3 linked regions of the Oryctolagus cuniculus genome follow. Each later gene encodes a partner of the first gene's protein in a complex. Links are inferred from orthologs where the notes say so. Each region holds a gene or a part of one and is shown in the gene's direction. Other genes may lie near its edges.

What was found.
Region 2: MMS19 (region 1) and CIAO1 share a complex: the UniProt entries of both Homo sapiens proteins name them as parts of the MMXD complex. The link is inferred for Oryctolagus cuniculus from reciprocal best matches to the Homo sapiens genes MMS19 and CIAO1.
Region 3: MMS19 (region 1) and CIAO2A share a complex: the UniProt entries of both Homo sapiens proteins name them as parts of the CIA complex. The link is inferred for Oryctolagus cuniculus from reciprocal best matches to the Homo sapiens genes MMS19 and CIAO2A.

The regions. Positions count from the first base shown.
Region 1 is NC_091446.1:32,352,987-32,359,275, forward strand, and holds the start of MMS19 (MMS19 nucleotide excision repair protein homolog), read left to right. Parts: upstream 1-2,693; 5' UTR 2,694-2,754; coding exon 2,755-2,869; intron 2,870-6,289. Other genes in the region: UBTD1 (ubiquitin domain-containing protein 1), read right to left, coding at 1,803-1,872. UniProt on the Homo sapiens protein: Key component of the cytosolic iron-sulfur protein assembly (CIA) complex, a multiprotein complex that mediates the incorporation of iron-sulfur cluster into apoproteins specifically involved in DNA metabolism and genomic integrity.
Region 2 is NC_091433.1:111,311,908-111,316,041, reverse strand, and holds the end of CIAO1 (probable cytosolic iron-sulfur protein assembly protein CIAO1), read left to right. Parts: intron 1-5; coding exon 6-154; intron 155-237; coding exon 238-349; intron 350-438; coding exon 439-527; intron 528-740; coding exon 741-942; intron 943-1,383; coding exon 1,384-1,471; intron 1,472-2,278; coding exon 2,279-2,519; 3' UTR 2,520-2,910; downstream 2,911-4,134. UniProt on the Homo sapiens protein: Key component of the cytosolic iron-sulfur protein assembly (CIA) complex, a multiprotein complex that mediates the incorporation of iron-sulfur cluster into extramitochondrial Fe/S proteins.
Region 3 is NC_091443.1:87,153,006-87,159,371, reverse strand, and holds the start of CIAO2A (cytosolic iron-sulfur assembly component 2A), read left to right. Parts: upstream 1-2,491; 5' UTR 2,492-2,719; coding exon 2,720-2,843; intron 2,844-6,366. UniProt on the Homo sapiens protein: Component of the cytosolic iron-sulfur protein assembly (CIA) complex, a multiprotein complex that mediates the incorporation of iron-sulfur cluster into extramitochondrial Fe/S proteins.

The DNA.
Region 1 (6,289 bases):
CTTTTGTGGCATAATGAGTTAAGCTGCCGCCTGCCGCTCCAACATCCCATATGGGCACTGGTTCGAGTCCCAGCTGTTCCTCTTCTGATCCAGCTCCTTGTTAATGCACCTGGGAAAGCAGCAGAAGATGGCCCAAGTGCTTGGGCACCCACATGGGAGACCTGAATGAAACTCCTGGCTCCTGGCCTCCGCCTGCCCTAGCCTGGGTCGTGGAGGCCATTTGGGGAGTGAACCAGTGGATGGAAGGGCACTCTGTCTCTCTCTCCCTCCCTCCGTCCCTCTCTGTAACTCTGACTTTCAAATAAATAAAATAGATCTTAAAAAAAAAAAAAAAAAAAAAGTCTTCCCAGTGGACAAAGCCATGGGAAGGAGCATAGTAAGAGAAAAAGTGTTCAGACTGCACCGCAGGAGTCCCGCTCCTCTGAGGTGGCAGCGCCAGTGGGCAGGAGTGACCAGACAGGAAAACCAAGAAGGCAAGGGGGCAGAGTTTCAAGTAAAGGCAGGTGTCAACAGAGGAAAATGCTACAAAATCAGTTACCAGGGCTCACTGCAAAAATAACAAATATTTGTGGGATGAATGAAAGAACGGAAGGAAGGCAGGAAGCCCTTGAGTTGCCCATCCACTTTCCTCAGTCAGAAGAATGGCCCGGGCTGCCCTCCGACACCGGGGTTTCGGAGTTAAGTCTCACCCCTCCATCCTATGAAAACACGTCTCTTCCGCCACAAGCCATCCTGTGCACCGCACAGACATCCTTCCCTGCCTCCCCGACGGTTTCCCATCCTCCTTCCCGGCTTCCGCGTCGGAGCAGGTGGGAAACTGAAGTTCCCACTTCATTCACAACTCTGCGTCCGGCTCCCCTTCCACCAAGGGCTATGTGGCAACGGGCAGGAGGAGCACGCTGGCCGCCAGCCCCACTCGCACGGCTCACTCGCTGTGTGACTTTGGACAAACCCGCCAGCCTTTCGGGACCCAGCCTTTTACTCAGAGCGGAGGAGGCGGATCTGTCTGGAACCCAGACAAGTTTCGGCGCTCCTCCGAGCACTACAGTCTATGATTTTATCATTCTCAGAAGGTCCTTGCAACACCCTCGGAGAAGGAAGTGAGACCCAGAATGACCGCCGGCCCTCTCCGAGGGGCCGAGCGCCAGGACTGAAGGGGCGCACGGCGAGAGTGAGACGGCGCGGCCGGTCCCGCGGATCCCCAGAGGGCGCGGCCCCCTCCCAGCGCTGGCGCGGAGCCCCGCAAACCCGAGGGCGCCTCTCGCTCCGCACCCCACCTCGCCACAACTCCCAGACGGCCAGGAGGCTCTAAAAAGCCCTGCGGGGGGAAAAAAAATAAAGATTTCTTTCCCAGAGTCCTGCGCTGCTTTTGCAAGTCGGATTCCGGCAGACGCGATCCGCAGCCCGAGAATGACACAGTCAGTCTCGGGAAGGAGCGACCGACCGTGCCGAGTCGTGGGGCCGCCCGGCAGTTCGCGCCGCGCCCCGACGGGCAGGCGTCCGACCCCGGCCCGGGCTGCCAGGCCGCCGGCGCCCTCGCCCCCGGCCCTCCTCCCCGCGGCGGCCCCGCTGCGGTCTGCGAACATTTCCTGCCCCCGCCCCCACCGGCCACCCGGAGCTTCCCAGTTGGAGCGAGTTGGTCTCGCAGCCCGGTCGGCGTCCCCGGCCTCGTCAGGCTCGGAGCTGCGCTGGGAGAGCCCAGGCGCCAGGGGCCGTGGGAGGTCGCGCCGGGAGCCCAGGGCCCCGGCGAGCAGGGGCCGACCGGCGAGGTGCCCGTGGCCCTGCTCGTTCCCCGTGGTTACCTGCTCGCTTGCGGGGGTGTCCTGGGGCGGCTGGCCTCTCCCCGCGCTGTCTCCCCACGCAGTTGCCCATGCTGGCTCCTCAGCCGGTCCCCATGCACCGGAGGCGGCGGGGTGGTCGGCTGCTCCGCGCCCCTGCCCCGGACGGCGGCGTCCCGGGTCAACGGCTCCTGCCGCCCGGCATCTGACGCTCCGGATCTCCCCCCGGGGGGGCGCGCTCTGCCCCGGCGCCGGCCTCGCCACAAACTTTGCGGACCCGGGGAGGGAGGGAGGGAGGTGGCCGACTCCCCTGCTCAGTCCCAGGTGGCCGGGCCAGGGGGGCCCGCGACGGTGCCCGGCCGGAGACCAGCCCCGCTGAAGGGGCGGAGAGAGGGGGCGGGCACCGCCGCAGCTACTCCCGGCTCGCTTGGGGCTCCCAGCTGGGGCCGGCCCCCCGCAGCCTGTCACTCACCTGCCTAACCCCGCCCCAGCCCGGCCCCACTCCCTTCCGCCGGCTCGCGGTGCCCGCGCCGCCGCCGCCACCCGCCCCAGGTGCGCATGTGACCGACGGCACCGCCCCCTTGGGCCGGGCCTGATTTTCTCATTGGCTTCCCCCAGGGTGCGTACCGCCCCTCGGCCCCACCCAACCAGGTGTCCTCCCCGCAGCCCGTCTCCCGGGGAGCCGGGCCGGGAATTATTCGCCCTCAATGGCCCCCGACTGCGTGCCCAGCGAGCCGCCTTCGCTCTCCGCGCCACCGCCCCGGCCCCAGGCCCCACCCCTCGGGGAGGGGCCTTCCCTCCCCTCCTCTACCCTCCCCTCCCTGGAACTGCCCGATCAAGAGCTGGCGGCCACGTGATCCAGGGAGCGCCCCGCCCCCGCGGCATCCACCCAGCGATTGGCTCAGGGGGCGCGTGCGCAGACAAGCCTGTCTCGCGCCTCCGCCTCCTTCCCCTCCCACGGTCGCTCGTTAGCGTCATGGCCGCCGCCGCCGCTCCCCAGGAGGCGGCGGCGCCTACGGGCCCCCTGTGGGGACTCGTGCAAGACTTCGTCATGGGTCAGCAGGAGGGCCCCGCTGACCAGGTGGCTGCAGGTACGGCAGACAGCGCCGGGCCCCTTCCGCTTGGGGGCCGACAGGAGGGAGCGGCCTCAGCACAGGCGCGGAGCGGGAAGGGAGTGAGGGGCAGGATGACTTTGAGAGATCAGTCTCAGGGCTGCTTAGTGAGCATCGAGCTTAAGAAGCGTAACAAGTTGGAGAGTCGCGCGCATCTTCCATACAGCGCTTTTACTCTCGACGTCTCCTCACAGCCAACGGTAGACCGTCATTACATGTCACTGACGAGGAGACGCAGGCCCGGAGAGCTGCGGCGCGGGCGGGAGGGGAGCTGGGGCTCAGACTCGGGAGTTCAGGTGGCTCGGGCTGCCGGCTCCGGGAGACCACATTGTTTGTGGAGATTGACGTGGGGAGGTGACTGCTGGGCGCGTCCGCTCGCGGCGCGCGGCATCTTGGGAGTGGCTGTAGTCGGAGCGAGCCGAGCGGCCAGTCGGGGCAACTGGAGGTGGTGTCGCATCCGCCTCTAGACTTTCCCTCTGTGTCTTGGTGAAGTTCTTGATTACTTTTGCATCGTGACTTTTGTGCGGCATTATTTTTATCTTTTTCCCAGATCCCCTGTCTCCTCTGCTTTGGACCTGTTCAGGGAATCTCTTAGTTCTGGCAGTTTGTTAAAGATTGGAATAAAAATCCTAGACTTGCTTGGGTTCTGAGACTTAGCTCATTTAGGGAAAAAAAAAATCTAAAACTTTCAACCAGTCATTCCACCATTATTGAACACGGTCTCCAAAAATGATGCAGAGCAGGACTATAAATACAAATTAGATCTGTGCCCACCAAGAACTTGCAGTGTGTGTGTGGGGGGGGGGGGGAGAGACAGCCATGCTATAAGAGGTAAATGCAAGGTGGTCTGCAAACATCACACAGCAAATGTCTGATGCTGCCCCTATTTATTTTTTTATTTGAAAGGCTGTTACAGAGAGAAAGGGAAAGATAGAGATTGATTGAGAGATCTTCCATCTATTGGTTACCCTCCAAGTGGCTGCAATGGCCCGGCGCTACCGAAGCCAGGAGCCTGGAACTCCATCTGGGTCTCCCATGTAGATGGCAAGGGCCCCAGCACTTGGGTGATCTGCTGCTTTTCCAAGCACATTAGCAGGGAACTAAAACAGAAATGAAACAGCCAGGATACTGGTATCACAGGTGACAGTTTAACCCACTGTACCTCAATGCTGGCCCCTAAACTTAACATCTTTGTTGCTCCCCCTCTTCGTGGAGGAACGACACAGGACCCTGTGCTGTTCTTTTCATCTGCTCGGCCCTCCCCGGGTTTGCTGCTGGTTCTTCCCGGGTTGGCTACTATCCCTTCCACCTCCGTGGAAGGGCAGTTCCCCCTGGCCACATTCCCCACTTCCGCAGGGGAGCGGCACACCGCCGGCCGGCTTTCTCGGGGGCTGCACGGGTTTTCCTTCAGCTAGATGTTCCCCATAGATGTTCCTGGTGCATGCCGTCTCTCTCCTCCTTTATAGTCCTCCTCCGCCAATCCTAACTCGGCTGCCCACACGCCGAGTACGCTGCTCTCCTCCAATCAGGAGCAAGTCCTACAGTTTATTAGTTGAACTGGAGGCAGCTGCGTAGAAGCTGTTTACTTCTCTCCCAGCGCCATATTGTGGGAGAGCAGATGCATAGAATAAGTCCTAATTCCAGTAACTCAGTCTAGTCCGGTTGCTCCCCACAGATCCCCCTTTCTTTTTATTTTTTGGCGTTGATACGCGCCTGTCTTCGGTGTCCCGCGGCACACACTCTGCTCTACTTGCTAGAGTTGCCACAGGCTCTTACAAGTCCTATCAATCAGGCAAACCGAATCCGGGTCCTCTCTTCGCCATGTTGTGAGGAGGTTTTTAGGCGCTGATGCGTGCCTGTGTTCGGTGCCCTGCAGCGCATGCTCTGGTCGAGCCTGCAGGGGCTTACAAGCCCTATCAGGCAAACCGAATCCAAGCCTTCTCATTGCCGTATTGTGGGGGAGACTTATTAGTGTTGGTTCGTGCCTATCTTCGGTGACCTGCAGCTCATACTCTGGTCGAGCTGCTTGCTGGTGCTTACCGCCTTAATTAGGCAGACCGAATCCAAGCTTTCTCATTGTTGTATTGTGGGGAAGCCTTACTGATGTTAATTCGTGCCTGTCTTCGGTGACCTGCGGCGCATAAGCTGCTAGCCGCCGCAGGTGCTCATCGTGCTCATCGCCTCACTTAATCAGGCAGACCGAATCCAAGCTCTCACAGTGCAGTGTTGTAGGGAGGCCTTTCTATTTCTCTATTTCTCTATCTCCGGGCATTCCTATTTCTCCCATTTTACTTCTATCTTCCAGCATTCCTATTTCTCTCACTTTGCTTCTAAACTTCTGTTTCTCTTATCCCCGCAGCTTCCCGCTGCCCGCCCCGAGGCTACTTCTCGGCGGCTTCCCGGCTGAGCCGCTTCAGCCCGCGCCTCTTTCATCTGCGCAGCTTCCCGGCTTTGCGCGGCTTGGCTTCGCGCGCTCCGCGGTCTCCACGCCCTTTGCGTCTGCACCACGGCCTCGCGCCAGCCCCGTTCCCTATCTATTCACGCCCCGTGCTCTCTCTGCACGCGGCGGCTTCCGCGAGTAACACAGCGTAGCTTACGTGTCCGCCACTAGCATTCAATCTAAGTTCCCCGGGCTAGCCTGGCGAATTCAACCCAGCATACGTCTCCGCCCCACGATTTGGCTTCCCGTCCTTTGCTCCCCGGGCTAATCAGACGGATCCCAATCTGGCTTACGTTTCAGCTTCTGGTTTCAACTTTTCGCCCCCCATTCCCGGGCTAACTTGAGAATCCCAAAGTGGCTTTCGTGTCCGCCTTGGCCTGCCCCCCACGGCTTCAATTTCCCTAACATTTTTCTCTACCCGGTATGTTTCCCCAAACTTTCCTCCAACGATATTCCTCCCTCATTTCTCCTGGCCTCTCCCCACAGTCCGCGTCCGAGTCTGTTTGTTCTAGCTTTCACTTTCGACCTTAGAGATTTCTCCCAGCTTCCCCCCGTAGTCCGTATCTGAGTCTATGCCTAGGCTTTCAACAGCTTCTTCCGGCACCCTTTTCGTCCGGCTTTTCCCTAGGCTGTTTACTAGTCTCTCCTCCGGTATTTTCCCAGTTCTTCCCGTTTCTTCCCTCCTAAGTTTCCTATCCGTCCTAGGTTTCCTATCCAAGCTAGGTTTCCTATCCGAGTCACGGCACCATCATGTCGCTCCCCCTCTTCGTGGAGGAGCGACACTAAACCCTGCCTAGGCTTCATATCCGAGTCACGGCACCATTATGTCGCTCCCCCTCTTCGTGGAGGAACGACACAGGACCCTGTGCTGTTCTTTTCATCTGCTCGGCCCTCCCCGGGTTTGCTGCTGGTTCTTCCTGGGTTGGCTACTATCCCTTCCACCTCCGTGGAAGGGCAGT
Region 2 (4,134 bases), on another chromosome or scaffold:
CTTAGGTGACAGCTGGGTCTGCAAGTCTGTCCTTTCTGAAGGCCACCAGCGCACCGTGCGGAAGGTGGCCTGGTCTCCCTGTGGGAACTACCTGGCCTCTGCCAGCTTTGATGCTACCACCTGCATTTGGAAGAAGAACCAGGATGACTTTGAGGTAAGCATGCTGGAGGGGACCTTGCTCCTTAGGGCGAGTTTAGGAACCTCAGCCAACCCTTCTCAACCCTCCTCCCTTTGCAGTGTGTAACCACTCTTGAGGGCCATGAAAACGAGGTCAAGTCAGTGGCTTGGGCCCCATCTGGCAACCTCCTGGCCACCTGCAGCCGAGACAAGAGTGTGTGGGTCTGGGAAGGTGAGTCCCGGGTCCCTGCAGGAGTCGGGACCCAGCTGACAGCCGTTCCACGGTGGGCTTCCGGCTTCCCTTCCTTTTGTCTCCCACAGTGGACGAAGAGGATGAGTATGAATGTGTCAGTGTCCTCAACTCCCATACACAGGATGTCAAGCACGTGGTTTGGCACCCAAGTCAGGAGGTAACCGTTGCCCAGCATGGGCTCCTGGTGGGCGGGGACCCTGGGGAGAAGGTGGGCGCCCAGCCTTTTTCTGCTCCTCAGCCTCAGGCTGTCAGTACGGGGTCTCTGTGACCAGAAGACCCTGGTCTGAGCCCTGGGACTGTGCTACCCGGCACACAGGCACTTCCTGGGCCACACAGGCGAGTGCTGGGTCTCTCCCCTCCTTCCCCCCAGCTGTTAGCCTCTGCCAGCTACGACGACACAGTGAAGCTCTACCGGGAGGAAGAGGATGACTGGGTGTGCTGCGCCACCCTGGAGGGCCATGAGTCTACTGTGTGGAGCTTGGCCTTTGACCCCAGCGGCCAGCGCCTGGCGTCCTGCAGTGATGACCGAACTGTGCGCATCTGGCGCCAGTATCTACCAGGCAATGAACAAGGTGCGGGTCCAGTAGCGGAGCTACAGGAGACACGAGAGGCGTGTGGTCTGCTGGGACACATGCCTGATGGTGGCACGTTGGAGTAAAAGGAGCGTGTGCCAGGAGAGGGCTCCAGATAGAACACTCAGAGGAGCTGGGGAAAGCTGCGTGAACAAGGGGTCATAGGATGGGAAGGATTTGAGGAGGAGTCGGGTGGGTTGGCTCAGCTGGTTGCGTGGCCTTCGAAGGCAAGCTGCTAGGTGGGTACGCGATAGTCTGCGGCAGGACGGGAGTATTTCCTTCTTGGAGTTCTGCTCCAGGAGGACCCGTGTGGCCACAGTGTGTGCTGCGGGTCGGTGAGGATGGCGACAGGGATGGGCACGGCGACTCAGGATGGCCTGAAGTCTGCGGTGCGCAGCTCCTCCGCCGAGGCCTCGGGCTCAGAACCGGTCTGTCTTGCAGGGCTGGTGTGCAGCGGCTCTGCCCCCAGCTGGAAGTGTGTCTGCACTTTGTCTGGCTTCCACTCCAGGGCCATTTACGACATTGCCTGGTAAGACCTCCATCCCCACCCCACTCCTGGTAAAGCAGGGATTTGAGAGACATCGTGACCCTCTGTCCTGCTACCAGCGGGGCACAAGAGAAGAGCCGCCCTGTTTCTGTAGATGAGGCCCCCTGTCCACCATGCTAGAGCCGGCCGGCCTGCGAGTCCCAGGGGCAGGACTCAGCCTTAGACCCAGGAGCCCTGGTTAGGAGCGCAGGCTCTGAGGGCAGCACCAGCCCCGGGATTCACGCAGTGCCAGTCCGTCCAGAGAGCAGGACTGAATCTGTGGATCGGTGGTTGGGGTTGTTACGGTTTGGAAACACAGAGGGAGAGTTAGGCAGAAGACAGTTCTGGCCCTGAGAGGGAGGCCTAAGAATTAATGCTAAACAAAGGAAAAAGTTCATAGGCGTCCAAGCATAATTAGTATTAGCAAACAGTTTGGAGTAACGCATACGAGTATGTTGCAAAAAAAGTGGACTTAAGCAAATAATGGTAAAACTCAGTAGCCTGTTCTATCAGTTAAAAAAGACTTCAAAGCATGGGAAACCACTTATGCTCAATGAGAAGTGTGCTCTTCAGAGCTGCTTGGGGTTTTTAGGTTAGTTATAACTGGAAGGCGTATGGAGGCATCTGCAGACCGAGGGAGGTGCTGCTCGTGGCTCTGTCTTTGGGACACTCCCCGGTAAGACTGAGCTGAGGCCTGCAGCTGGGAAGAGAACAGGCAGGGACTGTAGAACAGATCTCTCTCTCGCCCAGTTTGCCAGACTGGGGAGGGAAGAGCAGTCTGCACACCTCCTGATGGCACATTTCTCCCAGGTGTCAGCTGACCGGGGCCCTGGCTACAGCTTGTGGGGACGATGCCATCCGAGTGTTTGAGGAGGATCCCAGCTCGGACCCGCAGCAGCCCACCTTCTCCCTGACGGCCCATTTGCGCCAGGCCCATTCCCAGGATGTCAACTGCGTGGCCTGGAACCCCAAGGAGCGGGGGCTCCTGGCTTCCTGCAGTGATGATGGGGAGGTGGCCTTCTGGAAGTACCAGCAGCCTGAAGGCCTCTGAGCTGCCTTGACTTCGGCATCACAGTTCCTGAGAAAGTGTGCTGAGACTTTGCCAGTCCCAGGAGGGCCTGGAGGAGCATCCTTGACCTTGATTCAACTTGGCTGGCTTCTCTGCAGACTCAAAAAGAGGCATGGAGCCACAGGGTGGCTGGCTTTTCCCCTCCTTTGACACGAGGCCCTCAGTAAAGAGCTACAGAATGCCAGTCCATTTTTGTTAACTCAGAGTTTGCTTGCTTTGGGACAGTGTTAAATTTGGGTGGGTGGGGAGTGTACTGTTTGTGTGTGTGTGTGTATACAAGGGTATGTCAGAAAGTTCCCAGAGATTGTATATTGTGAAAAGATCATGGGTTTCAAAAAAATTTTTGCACCAAAATAAACATCTTTTAATTCCATTTTCCATGAACTTTTTGAAGTTCCCTCATATATATGTAGAAGGGAGAGTGTGTCTCAGACCTTTCCAAAACTGTAAACTTTACAAAAATAATACATTTGAGTCCAAAGTCTTATTTTATAAGAACAGTCACAATTTAAAAAATTCCGTGGTAGTGGCTGGCACTGTGGCAGAGCAGGTAAAGCCACCACTTGCAGTGCTGACATCCCATATGGGCGCCGGTTCGAGACCCGGCTGCTCTGCTTCCGATCCAGCTCTCGGCTATGGCCTGGGAAAGCAGTGGAAGATGGTCCAAGTCCTTGGGCCCCTGCACCCGTGGGGAAGACCTACAAGAAGCTCCTGACGCCAGCACCGTGACTCACTAGGCTAATCCTCCACCTGTGGTGCTGGCACACCGGGTTCTAGTCCTGGTCGGTGCACTGGATTCTGTCCTGGTTGCTCTTCTTCCAGTCCAGCTCTCCGCTGTGGCCCGGGAAGGTAGTGGAGGATGGCCCAAGTGCTTGGGAGACCAGGAGGAAGCACCTGGCTCCTGGCTTTGAATCGGTGCAGCACGCCGGCCTTAGCGGCCATTTGGGGGTGAACCAGTGGAAGGAAGACCTTTCTGTCTGTCTCTCTCACTGTCTAACTCTGCCTGTCAAAAAAAAAAGAAGCTCCTGGCTTCAGATCAGTTCACCTCTGGCCGTTACGGCCAATTGGTGAGTGAACCAGCAGATAGAAGACCTCTCTGTCTCTCTGCCTAACTCTTTCAAATAAATAAATAAATAAATCTTAAAAAAAAGTTCTGTGGTAATTCCTTGTCTGAAATAGGTTCTGCCTTCCCAGTTTCTGGGTAAATTTCTGTATTTAAGACATTCTACTAGGGGCCAGCATTGTGGCACAGCAGGTCAGGCTACCGCCCGCAACACTGGCATCACATACGAGCGGTGGTTTGAGGCCCAGTTTTTGGTTTTGTTTGTTTTTTAAGATTTATTCATTTGTTCAAGAGGGAGAGACAGAAAGAAAGGTCTTCCTTTCTCTGTTCACTCCCCAAATGACTGCAATGACTGGAGCTGGGCCAGGCTGCAACCAAGGGCCAGAAGCTTGTTCCAGGTCTCCTACCTGGATGCAGGGGCCCAAGCACATGGGCCATCTACTGCTTTCCCAGGCGCATTAGCAGGGAGCTGCATTGGAAGTGAAGCAGCCAGAACTTGAACTGGAGTTCACATGGATGCCGGCTTGCAGGCTA
Region 3 (6,366 bases), on another chromosome or scaffold:
GTCACCACGGGGCAGAGCCAGAGGACGGCCTCGGCGGCGAGGCCACCACACCCCTCACGCCCCGGAGCCGGGGCGGCCAGGCCCCACCGCTCGGCCCCCACGCAGGGCCTCCGGGCCCGGAGGACCACACCGAGGCGAGGTCTCACCGGGCCCACACGGCCCGGCCTCCTCGCCCCCTCGCGGCGCCCCTCTTTTTTTCGGGGGGCTCCCTCCCGCCGGCTGCCCCCAAGGGTGCGAACTCACGGCCGCCGCGGCGCCGGTGAAAATGTCCTCCCCCTCGGTGTCGCTGTCCCCGGCCTCGGGTTCTGACCCCCCGGCGGCCCCTTCGGACTCCGACTCCAGGCCCGGGAAGGGTGGAGGGAGTCTCTCCGATGCGCTACAGCCGCCACCACCCGTCGCCATCTTCCTCCACCCGCGGCGGAAGCCGCAACAACAACTTTATAGAGAGATAGCGCCGCGAGCAAAGCGTTCCTGGGGGTACTGGGAGCTTGAGGGCCGCGGCGGACCCTGCGGGCCCGGCGGCGCGGGGGCGTGGGGGCGGGGCCCAGGGGCCGGGGGCGGGGCGAGCCGGGCCGTCGCCCGCCGCCCGCGAATCGGAGCCCTGCGCCGCGGCCCCGCGAGCTCCCCGGGGCGGGCCGAGGGGCAGAGAGGAGCAGTCAGGGGCTGCTCAGGTTCTCCGTGTTCCCTGCGATTGCTTTGTCTAACCGGCTTCTGAAGATTTCGGTTGAATAAAGGAGCCTTTAGTCTGTGACTAAAAATGTTTGAAAGCCTCTACATGCCACCTTTCCAGGCCAAGCACAGTTCCCCTCTCCAGAGATTCAAGAAATATTTTTGACTGAGGTCTCTGAACAGACAGCGGGAAAGTTTGACCACTTGTTCTTTGAACTACAGGGCGTTCATCCAAGAAATATGTACTGAGCATCTACCGTGTGCCTGGCAGCTTGCTGTGCGTTTGAGGTACAGAAATAAACAAGCTCCTGGCCCACCTACGGAGGTGCTTACAACCCATGAGACACAGACAGCCATGCAAATCAACAGTTCCACACGCTCAGCGCCCCAGCACGGTGAACAAGACCTCCAGTTCTGCTTGGGGAAGCGCGGAGGGTGAGCAAACCCCACCGAACTAGATTTGGTCGGGAAGAAGTGAGGCTTGTCTTCACTGCTGTGGAGTGAGCGGAGTGGAACAGATGGCAGGGGCGGTATCAACTGCTCAAACATTTTTTTCTAGGGTTTAAACTACTCAAGGACTGGTGAGTCTAAAGTCTAAATCAGGAGGCGGCTTTATGGCTCAGCGGGTACAGCTGCTCCTGCGATGCCGCTTATTATCCCATGTGGACACGGTCGGAGCTCGGGCTGTTCCGTTTCCCATCCAGCTCCCTGCTAACGTGTCTGGGAAAGCAGTGCAGGACGGCCCAAGTGCTTGGGCCGCTGCACCCATGTGCAAGACCTGGATGGAGTGCCAGGCTCCTGGCTTCGGCCTGGCACAGCCTGGCTGTTTTACTCCTGGCTTCGGCCTGGCCCAGCCCTGGCTGTGGTGGCCACTGGGGAGTGAACCAGCGGATCAAAGAGCTCCCCTCTTTCTGTAACTCAGCCTTTCAAATAAACAAATCTTATTTTAAAAAGCCTAAATCAACCAGATAAACAAGACAGGCATCTTAAAGACACATGGGGTATGTTAAAAGGGATAGTGCTGTAAGATAATCTGACTTTCTTCTCAACAGAGATGAAATTTATCACGAACTGACAAAAGGTTTACTTTGTTCCTAATGCAAATTCTTCAGCGTCAGAGGCTGGCTCCCTCACAGGGCTGCGAGAGGCTTCAGGGCAGGGGCCCTGTCCTATCTCGGCACCTACAGATCGCATCTGGCAAATTAAGTACCCAATTCATAGCTGAGATTTAACTGGAGGACGAGACGGATAAAATAACATCATCAACTATGTTAACGGCATCCATGACAACACGTACACCAGATGGCTTGAGACGTCCTTTTTAGCATAGCGAACTCCATTCTGTCACCGTGGGTGCAGGGAAAGTCCTCTTAGCTCTAAGTCGTCTTTGGAGGCGATTGGCAGAAATATTCAGCCCACAGTGATGAGCTGGGCTGGACTGAGTCCCTAGGAGGCGAGAAAACCAGAGATCCACCATGCCTAACTGTCCTTACTGGCCTCCCCGACATCCCATTTCACCGCAACCGGAAACCCGCTTCTGGCCTGATTAGGAAGAGACTGACTGGAAGCAGCTCCCTCCGAGAAGTAACTGTAAATAGTCTCCGTACTAGAAACCAAACTCTCCTTTCCTCTACCTCTTCAGGATTCATCTTTAGCTTTCTGTGGGCACTGATCAGGCGGTGGGTGACAGACCGTTACACGCCCACTCGGAGGAGGAAACTCCAAATCCCAGAATACTGTTCGCCGTATTCCGAGGAAAACATCCCATACATCCTAGCGCGCATAGCGCCAGCTGGGTCGCGCGGATTGTTTTTTTTTTCTTGCTGCGCTGAAGCCAAGCAAAGCATGCTGGGGTTTGTAGTCCTTGCGGCTCCCTTCCCTAGGTCTTTCGCGCTACTCCGTCGGGCCCCGCCTCTTCTCTGCTCCTTTGACCCTTTCTTTAGACTAGTGTTGGCTCTTTTGAAGACCAGGAAGTTGCTAAATCCCGACACCGGCAGCTGAGAGACGGTGGCTCGGGTGGGACAGTCGCCAGGGATGGCGGAGCGTGAGAATGGAGCGGGTGTCCGGGCTGTTCTCCTGGACGCTGAACAGAGTCCTGTGGCTCTCAGGCCTCTCTGAGCGGGGAGCTGCCCGGCAGCCCCGGATCATGGAAGAGAAAGCGCTAGAGGTTTATGGTAATTAACTTTACGCAGTGCAGCATTTGGTGGTATATGTAGGCGCGGGGGCGGAGGACGGGCTGGGGTGGGGGAGAAGGGCTGCCTGAGGGTGTGGGAGTAAGACTGGGGTTTTCGCTGGATCTCGTCGCTAGCGAAGAAAGCGTTTTCTTCGGGGGGTGGTGGTGGTGGTGGTGGTGGTCCTAAGTCACGCGAGAGTGCGGGTTCGTCCAGGACCCCGGCTCTTCCTAAACCCCTGGCAAGCTGAGCGTGGAGGCCTTCAACGTCTCACCCCCTTAACCTGCCCCGCGCCCTCGTGGCCGTCCCGAGACTCGTGGGCAGAGCGGAAGCGTACGGTGCTTGGCCTGCGGGCAGAGCTGGCCTGGGCTCCTACTGCCTGATCCTCCTTGCTTCTCTAGCTCCCGCACGCGTACTCCGCTTCCCACTACTGCTGGGCGATGGCCGAGCTGGGTACGGCCCCAAGGTCACAGCCACTGTCTTCTGGGGCAGTCAGTAGGCAGAGTAGGGCGACTCGCATAGCGAGGCCTCGAACTTAAGAGTTCCTCAGCACAGCCATGCCGAAGTGCGAAACACACACACACACACACACACACACACACACGGTGGGGTGCCTCATGGAAAGTGAGCCCTGTGTTTTAATTCCGTTTTCCACCAATTTGAAGTACCCTCATGTGTGCACACACACAGTGTTTTTTCTCTACAGTAAGTATTCCCCAACCTGTGGGACCATCTGCATTGTGCAGATATGGAAGCAACAACCTGGAGCCTGGAGCCCACACCAAAGGCCGCGTCTTCTGATCCCAAACTGACTGCACTTTTCACCATCTCACAGCTGCTTAGGACTCTTTTTCTTGGAAAAAAAAATTTTTTTAACTAAATAGAATTGATGCACTGTTGAAAGAGCTGGCAGTAAGAATACCAATATAATCTGGGTGAGGATTACAGGCCAGAAGGAAGTGGGGGGTGAGAAAGACCTCTGGGGTTGGTCTAAATGCTCTGTCTTGCTAGAGGCAGGACTCACTTAACCTGGCCAGATGGTTAAGGTGTGTCGTAGACTCATTCCTGTCCTGCCATACTCTATGGCATCCTGGGATGCAGGGCACTGGGGACACAGCTTTGAAGAGCGCTGCTTCTAGTCCTTAAGCTTACATTGAGGAAAGCTTATCTTTGCAAAAACACAGTATATGATAGACGGGCATAGACTTGAAGACGTAGTACCGAAATTCAAAGGACAGATCCTCATTTCTAGGGGAGGGGAGGGGAATCTGGGAAAACTTGGAAGCGGAGTCATTTGCATTGGCCTTGGAGAATAATTGGGATCTGGATATGTAGGGGGTGAGAACGCATACTAAGCAGAGGAAGCTGGAGCAAAAGTGTGGAGCTGGGGCGCTAAGGGGATGACAGGTGTGCGGGGCTACAGGCTGTGGCTGAAGATGGAGGTGAGGTTGATGATAGGTTTGAATTGGATACCCAAGATTTTAAATTTAAATGAAGCCAGAGAAAAATTTTAGTCAGAGGAGTAATGTGGAGAGCAGCATTGTTTTGTTTTTGAAGAAATCCATCCACGCCTCTGAAACTGCTAGAAAACTTGAGAAGTTTAGTCAGGGGGTGAGCTTTAAAGAACACAGTCCAGTGAGTTTAAATGAGCCTTGGCTGGACCCAAGCCTAGGAGAGGCGGAGAATTCCTTGTCAAAAAATCCCATCTCTTTGAGTCCCATAGTAACACAGCTCTAGGAAAGAGAAGTTAAATCTGCTTCCCCGTGTTCAAATCCTGCTTCTAATCAAGTGGTAAGCCTTGGAGATACCTGGGGAGAAAGTAGGAGATTGGTCTGTGTTTCTCAACCGCATCTGTGTTTGCAAGGGAGCCCTGAATAGTAGAAGGGAGCCTCAGGCTTGAGGACCTCACGCCCACCATGTGGACGGGGCTGCCGCTGTCTGCCTCGCTGTTCCTCTTTATCAGTTCTCCTCTTCTGTTACAGCCTCCTGGTAAGAAGGAAGACTTGCCTCTCCCAGGGCAGCCCCGGTCCCCGCCTTCGTGACCCCATCATCTTCTGCTTATTTGGCCAGCTTCCCCTCCTCCCCTCTTTATGTTTTCTGTCTTTCCCTCCCTGTTTAATCTTTCCTTTGGGGCTTTAAAACATACTCAGGTTTCCCTAACTCTCGTCATTGTTCTAGCTTCCTTGCTAAGCTGCTGTCCTTTCTCTGCCCTTCCCTTCCCAACCAAGGCCCTAGGAATACACTTTCAGTCCTGGCTCGCTTTCCCCTTTGCGGGCTGGCCTGGGCCCTTGCGTCACTAGCAGAACTTCTTTCCTCCAGATGGCCTCCTGGCTGACAGGTCGAAGACTTGCCTCAGCTCTCGGCGGCCTCAGTGCTCTGGCAGCATCTGATGCTGCAGCCGCCTCTCTCCCTCTCTGCTTCTTCTTTCTTTACTTTCTCATTCTGACCCTTAAGTTTTGTGCTTCCCGTGAGTCTTTCCTTGGGTCTCTTTCTCTTTACACCAATGATTCCTCAAACTGGGCTGCACATAAGAATTACCTGAGGAATTTTTTTTCTTACTAAAGATTGATTTATTTATTTGAAAGGCAGAATTAGAGAGAGAGAGGGAGAGACAGAGAGAGAGGAGATCTTCCATCCGCTGGTTCACTTCCACAAATGGCCACAATGACCAGAGCTGGGCCAATCTGAAGTCAAGAGCTAGGAGCTTCTTCTGGGTCTCCCACATGGGCCCAAGCACTTGGGCCAACTTCTGCTGCTTTCCCAGGCACATTAGCATGTAGCTGGACCAAAAGTGGAGCAGCCAAGACTCGAACTGGTACCTATATGGGATGCCAGCACTGCCGGCCATGGCTTAACCTGCTGTACCACAGTTCTGGCCCCAGCTTGAGGAATTTTTTTAAAAAAAATCTTTGTTTATTTTCATCACTTGAAACGTAGAGCAAGAGAGAGTGACAGAAAGAGAGAGAGACCTTCCACCCCCTGGCTCACTCTCAAAATGATGGCAACAATTAGGGAGGGCTAGGCCAGGCTGAAGCCAGGAGCCAGGGACTCCATCTGGGTCTCCCACATGGGTGGCAGAGACGCTAGCACTGGAGCCGTCATCTGCTGCTTCCCAGGGTGTGTCAGCAGGAAGCCATATTGGAAGTGGAGGTGCCAGGACGTGAACCCACGCTCTGATAGGAGATGTGGTTGTCCCCAAGCAGTGGCTTAACTCCCTGTGCCACAACAACCACACCAACCTGAGGCATTTTTTAAACTCTTAATGCTCAGGCCATACTCCAAACCAGTTAAATCAGAATCTCTGGGAATAGGGTCCAGGTATCAGTTTTTTGTTTTAAAACATTCCTGATAATTCCAGTGTTCAGCCAAGGTCCTACTCATTTTTTGTGAAACGTATGGGTTCAACAACCGCCCTAGCCTCTGTGTGCTCTTAAAACCCTAAGGTACGGTTGAACATTTGCTGGAAAATTCCATGAGATTGCCCCTGAAGCACCTCAAAAACACTGTGTATGAAACTGAACTCATT